Linked DNA regions of Anolis sagrei. The protein of the gene in region 1 purifies or fractionates together with the protein of each later gene. This does not show direct contact. Links are inferred from orthologs where the notes say so. Each region holds a gene or a part of one and is shown on either strand. Other genes may lie near its edges.

Region 1 (7,259 bases):
CGATTCGTTAATGGCGGATGCGACCGCGAAATACGCTAAAAAACCTCCAAAACCTTCTGAAGCTTCCCTCTCCCTCTGTTGTTGACTGTTGGTGTGATATTATAATTTTTTTTCACTAATTAAACCATAAAACTGGCCCAGACATGCGGAAATAATAACGAAACGACCTCAAAACAATAACGAAACGAATACAATATCAAAATACGAAGCATTTACAAAACGTTTTGAAAATTCGTTTTTTTAAATAATTGCTCCAGAATGGTTCGTTGTCGTTTTGTAATTGAAAAAATTAACGAATTATTAACGAATTACGAATTAACGAAACGAAACCGCCCAGCCCTAATAGATAGATAATTCATAGATAGATAGAATCCCAGAATTGGAAGAGACCCCAAGGGCCATCCAGTCCAACCCCGTTCAGATAGATAGACCATAGATAAATAAATAGAGATGATGATAGAATCCTGGAATTGGAAGAGACCTCAAGGGCCATCCAGTTCAACCTCTTTAGACAGCAAGCTAGCTAGACAACATGATAGAATCCCAGAATTGGAAGAGACCCCTAGGGCCATCCAGTCCAACCTCCTCAGATAGAGAGACCATAGATGGATAAATAGGTAAAAATTACTAAAAAGACAAGTTACTGCAATGGCAACAATAAATATATATGTATATATGGGGGGGGGGGTGTTATATGAATATTTTACTAAGAATTGTTTTGAACGGAGGGAGTGGCCAGGTTCAGGGATTTTTAATCTGCTTGGTTTACCGCACGGCTAGATGGTAAAGTAGGCTTATCTGCAAATAAGATTACCACCTAAGACAGTGAACTAAACACCGTCTTTCCTGGAAGGGAGCCATTCGGAGGGGAAAGAGGAAGGCTTGGGATCCGCAAGGCGGGCGGTTTGCTCACAGAGTGAAGCAACTTTGGTTCGGCAATCCATGACGAGGAAGCGCAGGGTGAAGACGGGCACGAAGATCCGCAAGATCACACCCTGAGCACGTGCCGGCAGTGGGATGCGGCAGCTAAAAGGGCCAATGCGATTCTGTGCTTCTCCTCCTCCTCCTCTGATGCTGGTTGGCATGCACTCATTGCACAACTCTTCCAAGGAATCTATGTTCTATCTATAATCTATGCACCTCGCTGCAATGTGATGCCTTTCAACCATACTCTTCGACATTTGGTGCGAAGCTGCGTGAAAACGGCCAGTGTGGACAGAAGTGTTTTAAGGAATGGATTTGTTTTTGGTTGAGATGATCCTTTTGCAATTCCTCTAGGTTGGTGCTCCATGCTGGTGCTCTTCCTTCCTTTTCTTCCATCTTTCCCTTCATTCTCTTCCTTCCTTCAATTCCCTTTCATTCATTTTCTTCGTTCCCTTTCTTCCTTTTTCCCCTTCTCTTCCCCTCTTCCTCTTCTTCCCACTCAATCCTTTTGTTTCTTTCCTTCCTCCCTTCACTTTTTCTTCCTTCTCTTCCTATACTTGTTCCTTCCCTTCCTTCCTTCCTCTGTTTCTTTTCTTCCTCACTTCCTTCCCACTCATTCCTTCCCCCCATCCCTTCCCTTTCTTCACTTCTCCCTTCCTTCTCTTCCATTTTCCCTCCTTCTCTTGTTCTTCCTTTCCTTTCACTTCCTTCCTACTTGTTCCTTTTCTTTCTTTCCTTCTTTCTCTTCTTCCTTCCCTTCATTTTTTCCTACTTGTTCCTTCTCTTCCCTTTCTTCTCTTCCTTTCAGTTTCTTCCTACTTATTTCTTTCCCCTTTCCTTCCTTCTCTTCCCTTTTTTCCTTTCAGTTTCTTCCTACTCGTTCCTTTTCTTCCTTTCAGTTTCTTCCTACTTATTTTTCCTTTCCTTCCTTCTCTTCCCTTTCTTCCTTTCAGTTTCTTCCTACTTGTTTCTTTCCTTTCCTTCTTTTCCCTTTCTTCTTTCTCTTCCTTTCAGTTTCTTCCTACTTGTTTCTTTCCTTCTCTTCCCTTTCTTTTCTTCCTTTCAGTTTCTTCCTACTCATTCCTTTCCTTCCTTTCCTTTCCCTTTCTTTTCTTCCTTCTCTTCCCTTTCTTTTCTTCCTTTCAGTTTCTTCCTACTTGTTTCTTCCCTTTCCTTCTCTTCCCTTTCTTTCCTTCCTTCTCTTCCTTCCCGTTTCTTCCTACTTATTTTTTCTTTCCTTCCTACTCGTTCCCTTTCTTCCTTTCAGTTTCTTCCTACTTGTTTCTTTCCTGTCCTTCTCTTCCATTTCTTCCTTCTCTTCCTTTCCGTTTCTTCCTCCTCGTTCCTTTCCTTCTCTTCTTTCTCTTCCTTTCTCTTCCTACTCGTTCTTTTTCTTCCTTTCAGTTTCTTCCTACTTGTTCCTCTTCTTCCGCTTTTTCCCTTTCTTTCCTTCCTTCTCTTCCCTTTCTTTTCTTCCTTCCTTTCCTTTGAGTTTCTTCCTACTTGTCCCTTTCCTTCCGCCTTTCCCCTTCCTTTCCTTTCTCCTCTTCCTTTTCTCCCTTCCCTCTCTTCCTCATGTGTCAAAAGGGAGTCCCTTCCTTCCTTTGTATCCCTTCTCCTTCTCCTCCTTCCGAGAGAGAGAGAGAGAGAGAGAGAGAGAGAGAGGCCAAATCCAGTCAGGCGGACTAGGCCCCAAAGCCAAGGGAAAGCTTTCTTTTCTTCGTTTTCTTCCTTTCAGTTTCTTCCTACTCATTCCTTTCCTTTTCTTCCTTCTCTTCCTTTCAGTTTCTTCCTACTTGTTCCTCTTCTTCTGCTTTTTCCCTTTCTTTCCTTCCTTCTCTTCCTTTCAGTTTCTTCCTACTTGTTCCTTTTCTTCCGCCTTTTCCCTTTCTTCTCTTCTTTTTCTTCCCTCCCTCCCCTCTGTTCCTCATATGTCAAAAGGGAGTCTCTTCTTTCCTTCCTTCCTCCCTTTGTATCCCCTCTTTTCCTCCTTCCCAGAGAGAGAGAGGGCCACCCCTTGTTGCCTGCCTGCGGAGGCCTTTTCCTTTCCTTCCTTCCTTTCCTTCTTTCTCTTCCTTCCTTTCTTTCCTTCCTTTCAGTTTCCTCCTACTTGTTCCTTCCCTTCCTTTTCTTTTCTTCCTTCCTTCTCTTCCTTTCCCTTTCTTCCTACTCATTCCTTTCCTTCCTTCTGTTCCTTTTCTTTTCTTCCTTCTCTTCCTTCCTTTCCTTTCACTTTCTTCCTACTCATTCCTTTCCTTCCTTCTGTTCCCTTTCTTTTCTTCCTTCTCTTCCTTCCTTTCAGTTTCCTCCTACTTGTTTCTTCCCTTCCTTCTCTTCCTTTTCTTTTCTTCCTTCCTTTCTTCTTCCTACTCATTCCTTTCCTTCCTTCTGTTCCCTTTCTTTTCCTCCTTCTCTTCTTTTTCTTCCTTTCCTTTCACTTTCTTCCTACTTGTTCCTTCCCTTCTTTTTCCTCCATTCTTCCCTTCCCTCGTATTGTCAAAAGGGAGTCCCTTCTTTCCTTCCTCCCTTTGTATCCCTTCTCCTTCTCCTCCTTCCCAGAGAGAGAGAGAGAGGGAGGCCAAATCCAGTCAGGCGGACTAGGCCCCAAAGCCAAAGGAAAGCTTTCTTTTCTTCGTTTTCTTCCTTTCAGTTTCTTCCTACTCATTCTTTTCCTTTCAGTTTCTTCCTTTTCTTCCTTTCAGTTTCTTCCTACTCATTCTTTTCCTTTCAGTTTCTTCCTACTCGTTCCTTTCCTTTTCTTCCTTCTCTTCCTACTCGTTCCTTTTCTTCCTTTCAGTTTCTTCCTACTCGTTCCTTTCCTTTTCTTCCTTCTCTTCCTACTCGTTCCTTTTCTTCCTTTCAGTTTCTTCCTACTCGTTCCTCTTCTTCCGCTTTTTCCCTTTCTTTCCTTCCTTCCTTTCCTTTCAGTTTCTTCCTACTTGTTCCTTTTCTTCCGCCTTTTCCCTTTCTTCTCTTCCTTTTCTTCCTTCCCTCCCCTCTCTTCCTCATCTGTCAAAAGGGAGTCTCTTCCTTCCTTCCTTCCTCCCTTTGTATCCCTTCTCCTTCTCTTCCTTCCCAGAGAGAGAGAGAGAGAGAGAGAGAGGGGGCCACCCCTCTCCGCCCGCTCGCTGAGGCCTTTTCCTGTCAGAGAGGGAGAGAGAGGGAGGCCAAATCCAGTCAGGCGGACTAGGCCCCAAAGCCAAAGCAAAGCCAAAGGGAAGCCAAGCCAGGCAAGGCGGGCGGGGCGGCGCGCGGGGTTTCCCGGACTGGGCCGCAGGGGCCGAGAAGGGAGGAGGGAGGGAGGAGGAGGAGAAAGAGAGAGAAGAGAGAGACCCTGAGAGGAGCCAGGAAGGAAGGAAGGAAGAGAGGGAAGCAGAGGAAGCGAAGGAAGAAGGGAAGCCAGCCCGGATGGCCGCGCCAGGCAGCTGAAAGGAGGAGCAGGCCCCTCTCCCCCCTCTCCCCCACCCCCGACGGCGCAGCCAAGCCTGCCTCCTTCCTTCCTTCAGGGCTGAGGGGACGGCACGGAGCGGCCTTCTTCGCCGCCGCCTCGCCTTCGTCGCGCCCCTCCAGGCAGGCAGGCCTCTTCCAAGGGAGAAGGAAGGCAGGAAGGCAAGGCCGAGGAGAGGAAGGAGGACCAGGCCCGACAGGGTCGCCAGCAAGGCCCGCAAAGGACGGCGCCAGCAAGGAGGTGAGCAAGAGGAAGAGGCCGCCTCGAGGGAAAGGACCCCGGTTGCTCCCCCCACCCCCCCCCCACTTGGAAAGGCCCCCTCCCCCTTATTTAGGCCCCCCTCCCTCATTTCAACCATCTCCCCCTCCCCCCTCCTCCTAGAAAGGCCCCTTCTTTCTCATAGGAGCCCCCCCCCCTCTTATTCAGCCCCTTCCCTCTTTAGAAAAGGACCCCCCCTCTTGGAAAGGCCTTCTCCTCCTTAGGAGGCCCCCTCCCTCTTTTGAAAGGACCCCCCTCCCTCTTGGAAAGGCCCTCCCCCTTATTTAGACCCCCCTCCCTCATTTCACCCATTTCCCCCTCCCCCCTCCTCTTAGAAAGGCCCCTTCTTTCTCATAGGAGCCCCCCTCCCTCTTATTTAGACCCTTCCCTCTTAGAAAAGCCCCCCTTCTTGGAAAGGCCTTCTCCTCCTTAGGAGACCCTTCCCTCTTTAGAAAAGGCCCCCTCCCTCTTGGAAAGACCCCCTCCCTCTTAGAAAGGCCTTCACCTTCTTATTGGGCCCCCTCCCTCTTTTAACCCATTCCCCCCCATCCTCTTAGAAAGGCCCCTTCTTTCACATAGGAGCCCCCCTCCCTCTTATTTAGCCCCTTCCCTCTTAGAAAAGCCCCCCTCCCTCTTGGAAAGGCCCCCTCCCCCTTATTTAGACCCCCCTCCCTCATTTAACCCAACCCCCCCCCCCTCTTAGAAAGGCCCCTTCTTTCTCCTAGGAGCCCCCCTCCCTCTTATTTAGCCCCTTCCCTCTTTAGAAAAGGACCCCCCCCTCTTCTTGGAAAGGCCTTCACCTTCTTATTGGGCCCCCTCCCTCATTTAACCCATTTCCCCCACTCCTCTTAGAAAGACCCCCTCCCTCTTATTTAGGCCCTTCCCTCATAAAAAAGCCCCCCTTCCCTCTGGGAAAGGCCTTCTCCTCCTTATGAGACCCTTCCCTCTTTAGAAAGGACCCCCCCCTTCTTGGAAAGGCCTTCTCCTCCTTAGGAGGCCCCCTCCCCCTTATTTAGACCCCCCTCCCTCATTTAACCCACCCCCCCTCTTAGAAAGGCCCCTTCTTTCTCATAGGAGCCCCCCTCCCTCTTATTTAGCCCCTTCCCTCTTAGGAAAGCCCCCCCTTCTTCTTGGAAAGGCCTTCTCCTCCTTATGAAACCCTTCCCTCTTATTTAGACCCCCCCTCCCTCATTTAACCCACCCTCCCTCTTATTTAGGTCCTTCCCTCTTAGAAAAGCCCCCCCCCCTCTTCTTGGAAAGGCCTTCACTTTCTTATTGGGCCCCCTCCCTCATTTAACCCATTCCCCCCCTCCCCATCCTCTTAGAAAGGCCCCTTTCTCAGAAGAGCCCCCTCCCTCTTTAGAAAGGAAAGGACCCCCTCCCTCTTGGAAAGGCCCTCCCCCTTATTTAGATTCCCCTCCCTCATTCAACCGATTTCCTCCCCCCTCCCCCTCCCATCCTCTTAGAAAGGCCCCTTCTTTCTCATAGGAGCCTACCCCCCCCCCTTATTTAGGCTCTTCCCTCTTAGAAAAGCCCCCCCCCTCTTGGAAAGGCCTTCTCCTCCTTATGAGACCTTTCCCTCTTTAGAAAGGACCCCCACCCTCTTGGAAAGGCCTTCTCCTTCTTATTGCCCCCCCCTCTTGTGAAAGCCCCCTCCCTCATATAACCCCCCTCCTCTTAGGCAGGCTCCTTCTTTCTTATAGGAGACCCCCACTCTCTTGGAAAGACCCCCTCCCTCTTATTTAGGCCCTTCCTTCCCTCATAGAAAGGACCCCCTCCCTTTTGGAAAGGCCCTCTCCCTCATATAACCCCCCTCCCCTGTTCTCTTCTTTCTCATAGGACCCCCCCATCCTTCCCCTCCTTATGAGACCCCTCCCTCTTTAAAAAGGATCCCCTCCGACTTGGAAAGGCCCCCTCCCTCTTATTTAGATAGACCCTTCCCTCTTTAGGAAAGACCCCCTCCCATTTGGAAAGGCCTTCTCTTTTTGGGCCCCCTCCCTCATTTAACCCCCGCCCCAATCCTCTTAGAAAAGACCCTTCTCCTTCTTATTTGACCCTTCCCTCTTTAGAAAAGACCCCCCTCCCTCTTGTGAAAGCCCCTCTCTCATTTACCCCCCCCCCGTCCTCTTAGAAAGGCCCCTTCTTTCTCATAGGAACCCCCTCCCTCTTGAAAAGGACTTCTCCTTCTTATTGGACCCCTCCCTCTTGTGAAAGGACCCCTCCCTCATATAACCTCCCCCCCTTGTCCTCTTAGAAAGGCCAATTCTTTCTCGTAGGAGCCCCCCTCTCTTGGAAAAGTCCCCTCCCTCTTATTTAGGCCCTTCCTTCCCTCATAGAAAAGCCCCCTCCCTCTTGGAAAGGCCTTCTCCTTATTAGACCATCCCCTCTTTAGATAGGACCCCCTCCCACTTGGAAAGGCCTTCTCCTTCTTATTGGGCCCCCTCCCTCTTGTGAAAGCCCCCTCCCTCAGTTAACACCCCCCTCCTCTTAGAAAGGCCCATTTTTTCTCATAGGAGCCCCCCTTCCCTCTTAGAAAAGCCCCCTTCCCTCTTGGAAAGGCCTTCTCCTCCTTATTAGACCCCCCCCCCCACCTCTTTAGAAAGACCCCTTCTTTCTCATAAGAACCCCC
Region 2 (7,821 bases), on another chromosome or scaffold:
TACAGGCTGGACCTAATTCACAATCAAACTGCTCCTCTTGATGTGCTGGTTTTTGTCCTTGCCCTTTCTTCTAGCTATGCTGGGCATGGTGCTGGTGCACGTTTTGTAGACTCCATCCTTAAAATGGACTGCAGGTCTGTGGCTCTTCTCTTTGGATGTAGCAGTGCTGCCCTTGCGGTGCAAGGCAATCTGGAGGGAACTGGTGCTGTCCTCAGGTTCCTCATGGCAGGATGGTAAGTTGCTTTACCTGTCAGTCTTATTCCCTTCTAAACTGGAATCCCCTATGAGACCTAGAAACTTTGGGCAGTGATTTTCAATATGACCTGCTATACAAAGAGTGAAGTATACCTTGAAAAAATCAAACTTACACAGAATGCCTTCCTCATCTTATGTATGCTAAGGGAGGGAGATCTCATATACCGTTCTCTGCCATTACGTATATGCGTAGGGCAGCGTTTCTCAACCTTTCTAATTCCACAACCTCTTAATACAGTTCAGAAATATATGTATCTGATTGTCTTTGGTTGATGATCAATCTGAAACCCCCTTGCAACCACCACCCCCAAGGGTCCCGACTCCCTAACACTGGTGTAGGGGGATTGGGCATGATGTGGTTCTCCACTTTAGTTTGCACTCCAGTAGATTAATGCTGGAAAATCAGAAAGCATTCCTATTGTCTAGAATGCAAGTGATTTGTCCTTGAACACTGATGCCTCAAATGAGAAGATGGAAATCTCCACCTTTGTGAGTGTATTTGACTTTCTCTCTGGGAGTTTAATTGATTAGTGCTTTCTCTTCTGGCACAATTTGAATGATAATATGATATGATATTGAAAGGTCTATAAGGCTTAGGTACAGGCTATTTCAGGAGCCCCTGGTGGCACAGTGGGTTAAACCGCTGAGTTGCTAAACTTGTTGATCGAAAGGTCACAGGTTTGAATCTGGGGAGCGGTGTGAGCTTCTGCTGTCAGCCCCAGCTTCTGCCAACCTAGCAGTTCAAAAACATGGAAATGTGAGTAGATCAATAGGTACTGCTCCGGTGGGAAGGTAACGGTGCTCCATGCAGTCATGCTGGCCACATGACCTTGGAGGTGTCTACAGACAACACCAGCTCTTCAGCTTAGAGATGAGCACCAACCCCCAGAGTCAGACACAACTGGAACTAATGTCAGGGGAAAACCTTTACCTTTACAGGCTATTTCAAGAACTATCTGTTTATATGAGTCTGCCAGAGTCTTATGATATTCATCAGATGGCTTTCTCTCTGTCTGACCATGCATTAAGGTTTGTCTCATGAACACACAAGAGAGAGTCTTCTTGGAAGCTGCTCATAGTCTTTGGGACTTTCTCCTGTGGGGATCTTGGTTGGTCTCTTCTCTGTCCTATTTCTGCCAAGAGGCAACTTCCTTCTTAATGAAACAGGTCTTTAACTGGTTGTAGTAGTCAGATATGCATAGATGTGCTGTTATGTCAAAATCTGGTTTTTATTTTTAAATTGATAAATAGCATCTTGGATGGATTTGTTGTTCAATGCTATAACCTTTATACCATATAATTCTTTAGCTATTATGTTTTAGCTTGCATTGTAAGCCTCTTTGAATCCCACTGTGGGAGAAAGGCAGGATATCAATAGTATAAACTTGTCTTCCTTTTCCCCTGTCCTTTGTTTTCCAGTCCCCTAGTGCTGGGCAATCTCTGGGATGTGACTGACCGAGACATTGACCGCTTCATGCAGGCTCTTCTGAAGAACTGGCTGAAGGCAGGCTCTGGAGCTCCTCTGCTCCAGTACATCATTCAGTCACGCCAGGCACCCAGACTGAAATACATGATTGGTGCTGCTCCCATAGCTTATGGACTCCCAGTTTTTCTACAGTAGAAAAGACAAGAGCCTGGTGGGAGACATTTGGAAGGATCTGGATAAACTTTTCTTGACTCTGAGTACTTTAATTGCAAATTGCCTTTGGAGACAAAGGATAAAAATGCTTCAGATGCATTTTTGGTGTATAGTAGGAGTATATATTTTGTTGAAGGCCTATATTGTTTTTAGACAAAATGTTTCTACCTGGGCTGCTCTTTCAAGTATTTAAGATTTGCACAATGTACACATTTTTAATTTCAGAGAGTATTATGAATGTTTCTTAAAAGCTATATGAATTTTAATGTTTCAAAACCTAAATAAAGTTTAAAGCAAACAATCTCCCCCCCTCCGTGTGTTTGCACATGAATCATGCACTATTATCATTGGCATTTGATTCTTGGGAAGTTATATCTAATCTTGGATGGCTGTCTATCTAGTTCTAAATTTAAATCTCCGATTTTGTCCTGGCCAATCTACTTTTGCTAACATTTCCAGTCTTGCTATTAAAATCAAGCAAGGTGAGAAAAGAAAGGTTAATGTTTTATAATTGTGTGTGTGATTGTAATTTCATAGTTTTATCATTTTTAGATTATTTATTATTTATATGCGGCACTTCGCTGTGCTTTGTTAGCTGCCCCGAGTCCTATTGGGGAGATGGTGGCGGGTAAAAATAAAATCTATTATTATTATTACAATTATTATTATTAAAAGAATAATGGATTAAAATGGCAATGAAAATAATAAATGATGTGATCTTGTGTCGGGGTAGCCTAGCACAATGTTTCTTGCCTTCATTTTTAACAACAGGTTTTAAACATTACTTTTTTAAATTTCATAACAGCTAGTTATGAAATTTAAACTGCAAAAAACTATTTATTATTGCATGGCCATAGCAATAACGACAAACAATGGGGCTGCAGAGCATTTATAGTAAATGGAATATACATTTTCATTGGTTCCCAAAGACAAATCATTTCATTGGTCTAAGCTAGCTATGCAGTTGTTCATTAGTTGTTTATGATTTTGATTGACATTTTAGCACACGTGGGATCCTAACAATGGCACAACTATAACATAACTATAGTCCATTGTTCTCTGATCATGACTGTATCTTATCTGTTAGTCTGTTGCAAACATGGCTTCAAAGCGACTGGGAAACTTGGGGGTTCTAACTAGCCAACAGCTACCTGGTTTTGTCCGGATATGTTGTTATCCTTGAATAGTAACTTCTTCTTTGGAGCACTGATTTCTCAATCAGCATTTTCTGTGAACATAGGCCTACTGCAGAAATAGGCCAAAATGGTAGTAAATCATGACATATAGGCATTGGGGAAATATCTGAAAATTCCCTTTTTAAAACTACGTCTCCTCCAGTACCAAATGAGAGCCCCCCCCCCCCCCCCCCCCGGGCACACAGAAGACTGGGTGACTTGGAAGGCGCCGAACAGACTGCGCTCTGGCACCACGAGATGCAGAGCCAATCTTAAGAAATGGGGCTACAAGATGGAATCCACGACATGCGAGTGTGGAGATGAGCAAACCACTGACCACCTGCTGCAATGCAACCTGATCCCTGCTACATACACAATGGAGGACCCCAGGTGGTGCAGTGGGTTAAAGCCCTGTGCTGGCAGGACTGAAGACCGACAGGTCGCAGGTTCGAATCCTGGGAGAGGCGGATGAGCTCCCTCTATCAGCTCCAGCTCCTCATGCGGGGACATGAGAGAAGCCTCCCACAAGGATGATAAAAACATCAAAATCATCCAGGCGTCCCCTGGGCAACGTCCTTGCAGATGGCCAATTCTCTCAAACCAGGAGTCACTCCTGACATGACAAAAAAAATATGGAGGACCTCCTTGTGGCAACACCAGAGGCACTCCAAGTGGCCAGATACTGGTCAAAGGACATTTAATCAACTACTAAGTTTGCAAACTTTGTGTTTTGTCTGTTTGTTTGTTTTGTTATAAAAATGTAATGCTCCTGACACGATAAATAAATGTCTATGCCAGAGTTTTTAAGGTTGGCTTTGAGTCCATCTTTAAATCTCTTTTCCTGTCCACTAACATTCCGTTTTCCATTCTTGAGTTTCCCAAGCAAAGAATGCCCCCAGGAAGCAACAGCCAGGTTTTGCAGCTGCAAGGCTGCTCAATGCTAATCAATTTGTTAACTGTAACATTCACACTATCTTTAAACAGACAAGGGTTTTTTCTCCCACCCTGGACATTTCCACAGATGTGTGTGTGTGGGTGTATGCGTGTGTGTGTGTGTGTGTGTATATATATATATATACACACACACACACACACATATATATATACACACACACACACTCCATTTGCTTCATAGCCAACAGAACTTCTGAGGAGGCCGGCCACAGATACAGGCAAAACGTCAGGAGAGAATGCTACTGGAACATAGCAATACAGCCCGGAAAACTCACAGCAACTCACAGTCATGGTGGCTATGAAAGCCATCAACAACAGAATACTAACTTGGGCCAGCAATGAAATGGACTGAAGGTATCCATATATAATACAGTTCGACACCGCTTTAACTGCCACGGTTCTAGGCTATGGAAGCCTGGGATTTGGTGAGGCGCCAGCACTTTGTCCAAGGAGGCTAAAGACCTTGTCAAACTACAACTCGCAGGATTCCATGGCAATTCAAAGTGCCAAAGCACATGAATAAGTAATTGTGCTTTGAATGCAATATTCCTGCTTCTTGGCAGGGGGTTGGACTGGATGGCCCATGAGGTCTCTTCCAACACTATGATTCTATGATTCTATTATGCAGCATCCCACCGTTTCCCTTCTATCTCTCTAGGAGGCGCCTCGCTCGCAGGCCGGAAGTGAGGTCATTGTGGCCAACCTTGCCGTTTGCTGGCAACAGGGCGTGGATTGGGCTAACGTCATAGACGCAGTGACCATAGACTCGACTGCTAGCGCGTCTTGAGGAGGAACGGCTCCTTCTTTCCTTCCTTCCTTCCTTCCAAGATGGCGCAGCAGGTGAACATTTCGGAGCTGTCCCTGCCGCAGCTGGAAGTGCTGAAGAACCAGTTAGACCAGGTGAGGGAGAGGAAAGCGGGGGAAACAGGGGCCTGGTCTCCCTCTGGACTGCCCCCCCTAGAGTTCGTCTGCACTGTGGAATGAAAACTGTTCTATACCACATTAATTGCCAGGTCTCACTTCTATGGAAGAGTGGGAGTTGTCGTTTTACCCGGCCTGCCAAAGAGGGTGGTGCTTCACTGAACTGCAATTGTTAGGATTTCATAGCATTGAGCAACGAAGCAGCTAAAGTGGTGTCAAAGTGCCTTAATTTTGCAGTGTAGATGCCCCGCTAGGATCAGGATGCGGGGTAGAGGGCAGGCCCAGTGTGACACCCTCAAGATCTCCAGGGGAAGGTTACAATCTCAAGGATTGATATCTTTCAGAGCGTAGATAGAATCATAGAATCAAAGAGTTGGAAGAGACCTCATGGGCCATCCAGTCCAACTCCCTGCCAAGAAGCAGGAATATTGCATTCAAAGCACCCCTGACAGATTATTATTATTATTATTATTATTATTATTAAACTTTATTTATACTCCGCTAGCATCTCCCGAAGGACTCGATGCGGCTTACAAAGGCCAAGGCCTCAACCCAACAACAATAGACAATAACAGTACGATACAAAGCAAATTAAAAACATAAGCAATAAGAAAACATTACACTATTACGCAATAAAACCAGGGCCGGGCCAATGAAGGGTACATATTAAAAAGTGCTGGGTGTGAGAGGTGGTGTGTTGGAATTCTGGGCAAGTGCAAGTGCAGAGAGTCTTAAACTCTACTGGGACATAGAGCTGGGGGTTATCCTATTCTGGAAAGGCACATCAGAATAGCCAGGTCTTCATGTTCTTCCTAAAGACTGCCAACATGGGTGCTAGTCTAATGTCTTTGGGGAGGGTGTTCCAAAGTCGGGGGGGGGGGCAACCACAGAGAAGGCCCTGTCCCTCGTCCCCACCAAACACGCCTGTGACGCAGGTGAGATCGTAAGCAGGGCCTCTCCGGATGAACGAAGGGAGTGCGTGGGTTCATAAATGGAGATGCGGTCATGCAGGTAAGCAGGTCCCAAGCCATTTAGGGCTTTGTAGGTAAGCACTTGCACCTTGAATTGGGTTCGGTAGATGGCCATTTAGCCTCTGTTTAAAAGCCTCCAAAGAGGCTTCCTGGCCTCCACCACACTCCAGAGCAGAGCGTTCCACTGCTGAACGGCTCTCACAGTCAGGAAGTTCTTCCTCATGTTCAGATAGAATCTCCTTTCTTGTAGTTTGAAGCCATTGTTCCGTGTCCTAATCTCCATTGAAGCAGAAAACAAGCTTGCTCCCTACTCCCTGTGGCTTCCTCTCACATATTTATACATAGCTATCATATCTCCTTTCAGCCTTCTCTTCAGGCTAAGCATGCCCAGTTCTTTAAGCTGCTCCTCATAGGGCTTGTTCTCCAGACCCTTGATAATTTTAGTCGCCCTCCTCTAGACATATTCCAGCTTGTGCTATTCGTTTAAATGGCACCTAGATGATCTTTTGGTTTGAATGTTGGAACTGATAACAACAACAACAACAATAATAATAATAATAATAAATAAACTTTATTTATACCCCGTCACCATCTCCCCAAAGGGAACTCGGGGTGGCTAACATGAAGCCAAGCCCAAAAATAATACAGCAGAGTTCAAAACAAAGCAACAGAAAAATTACATCACAGCAAAATACATAAAATAACAGAATAAAATAAACTGTGCAAAATAACATAATATAAATCAAACACAAAGGACAGGCCAAATGCGTGAGCTAAAATGTTAAAACCCTGGAAGAGATAGGAGTAAAAAAGTGTATTGAAAAGTGTATTTGTGATGGAGGAGCCCAAGAAGGGGAGCAGTAGGGTTTGGCCTTTATTAACTGATGGGTATTAGAGTCCAACAACATCTGGAGGACCACGGCTTCCTCATTCCTGGCTTAGAGCTGGGAAGTTCTCTATCATAAGAAAAAGGATCCCGTTCTTCGATAGAAATGGTCATACTTAGTTTGAATATTACCTTCTATTTGTGTAAAAGGAGCAGACGATATATGTAAGTCTGCTCCAAGTTTTTGCTGTGAAATGTGTTTGCATGTGCATGAGAGAGAAAAAAACAGAATACCTAACCAGGGGGATAAGCATACTGAATCACCACATGTCTATTAGGATTCTATACACTTTCTTTCCATTCAGTCTTTCCCTTCTGCCAAATGACTGTGCTGTCAATGTGACTTGTCATACAAATCTGCCATGGCTTTTGGATGGAAGTAAATGGTATTGTAATGAAGTAGTCGTTTCAATCCTGTTCTTCTAGACTGGGGTGATGAATGTGTGGCTTTCCATTGGTCCTAGCCAGGGTAACCAACAATGTCTGTTGTTTAGAAATACTACTCAGCAACATTTGGAAGAACCACAATTTTCCCATCTCTGGTCTAGATGTTCACGGTGTAGTGCTCCTGGTGGCAAATATTTCAGAATACCTACTTCACATGCAGCTGGTTGCTGGAGGTGATGGGTCTTTAACTTCTGAATTTTGTATGACTTTTCCTAGGAAGTGGAATTCCTTTCTTCATCCATTGCACAACTTAAAGTGGTACAGACAAAATATGTGGAAGCAAAGGACTGCCTGACTGTCTTGAATAAAAGCAACGAAGGCAAGTACTGTGTATTGTTCAAATATATATGCTATTCTCCTCAGAGTGAGCGATGAAAATAAAGCCAAAAAGAACCAATGAATTCAATAGGCACACTTTTTAGTAAGTAGATGCAATGGAAAAACCGACGTGACTTTTTAAAAGTGATTGAGGACAGATGTAAATTCTAACCATCTTTCTAATCAGCTAAGGAGAATGCTACTGGAACATGGCCATACAGCCCGAAAAGCTCACAGCAACCTAACCAAAAATGT

What was found. Proteins that work in one complex are often made in the same cells at the same time.
Region 2: the proteins of GNB1 (region 1) and PFDN5 purify together in Homo sapiens (co-immunoprecipitation; 3 studies listed by BioGRID and IntAct, with this or other methods). This does not show direct contact. The link is inferred for Anolis sagrei from reciprocal best matches to the Homo sapiens genes GNB1 and PFDN5.

The regions. Positions count from the first base shown.
Region 1 is NC_090033.1:1,576,414-1,583,672, forward strand, and holds the start of GNB1 (guanine nucleotide-binding protein G(I)/G(S)/G(T) subunit beta-1), read left to right. Parts: upstream 1-4,222; 5' UTR 4,223-4,612; intron 4,613-7,259. UniProt on the Homo sapiens protein: Guanine nucleotide-binding proteins (G proteins) are involved as a modulator or transducer in various transmembrane signaling systems.
Region 2 is NC_090022.1:187,059,859-187,067,679, reverse strand, and holds the start of PFDN5 (prefoldin subunit 5), read left to right. Parts: upstream 1-4,805; 5' UTR 4,806-4,851; coding exon 4,852-4,923; intron 4,924-7,464; coding exon 7,465-7,567; intron 7,568-7,821. Other genes in the region: ESPL1 (separin), read left to right, coding at 75-233, 1,675-1,876. UniProt on the Homo sapiens protein: Binds specifically to cytosolic chaperonin (c-CPN) and transfers target proteins to it. Binds to nascent polypeptide chain and promotes folding in an environment in which there are many competing pathways for nonnative proteins.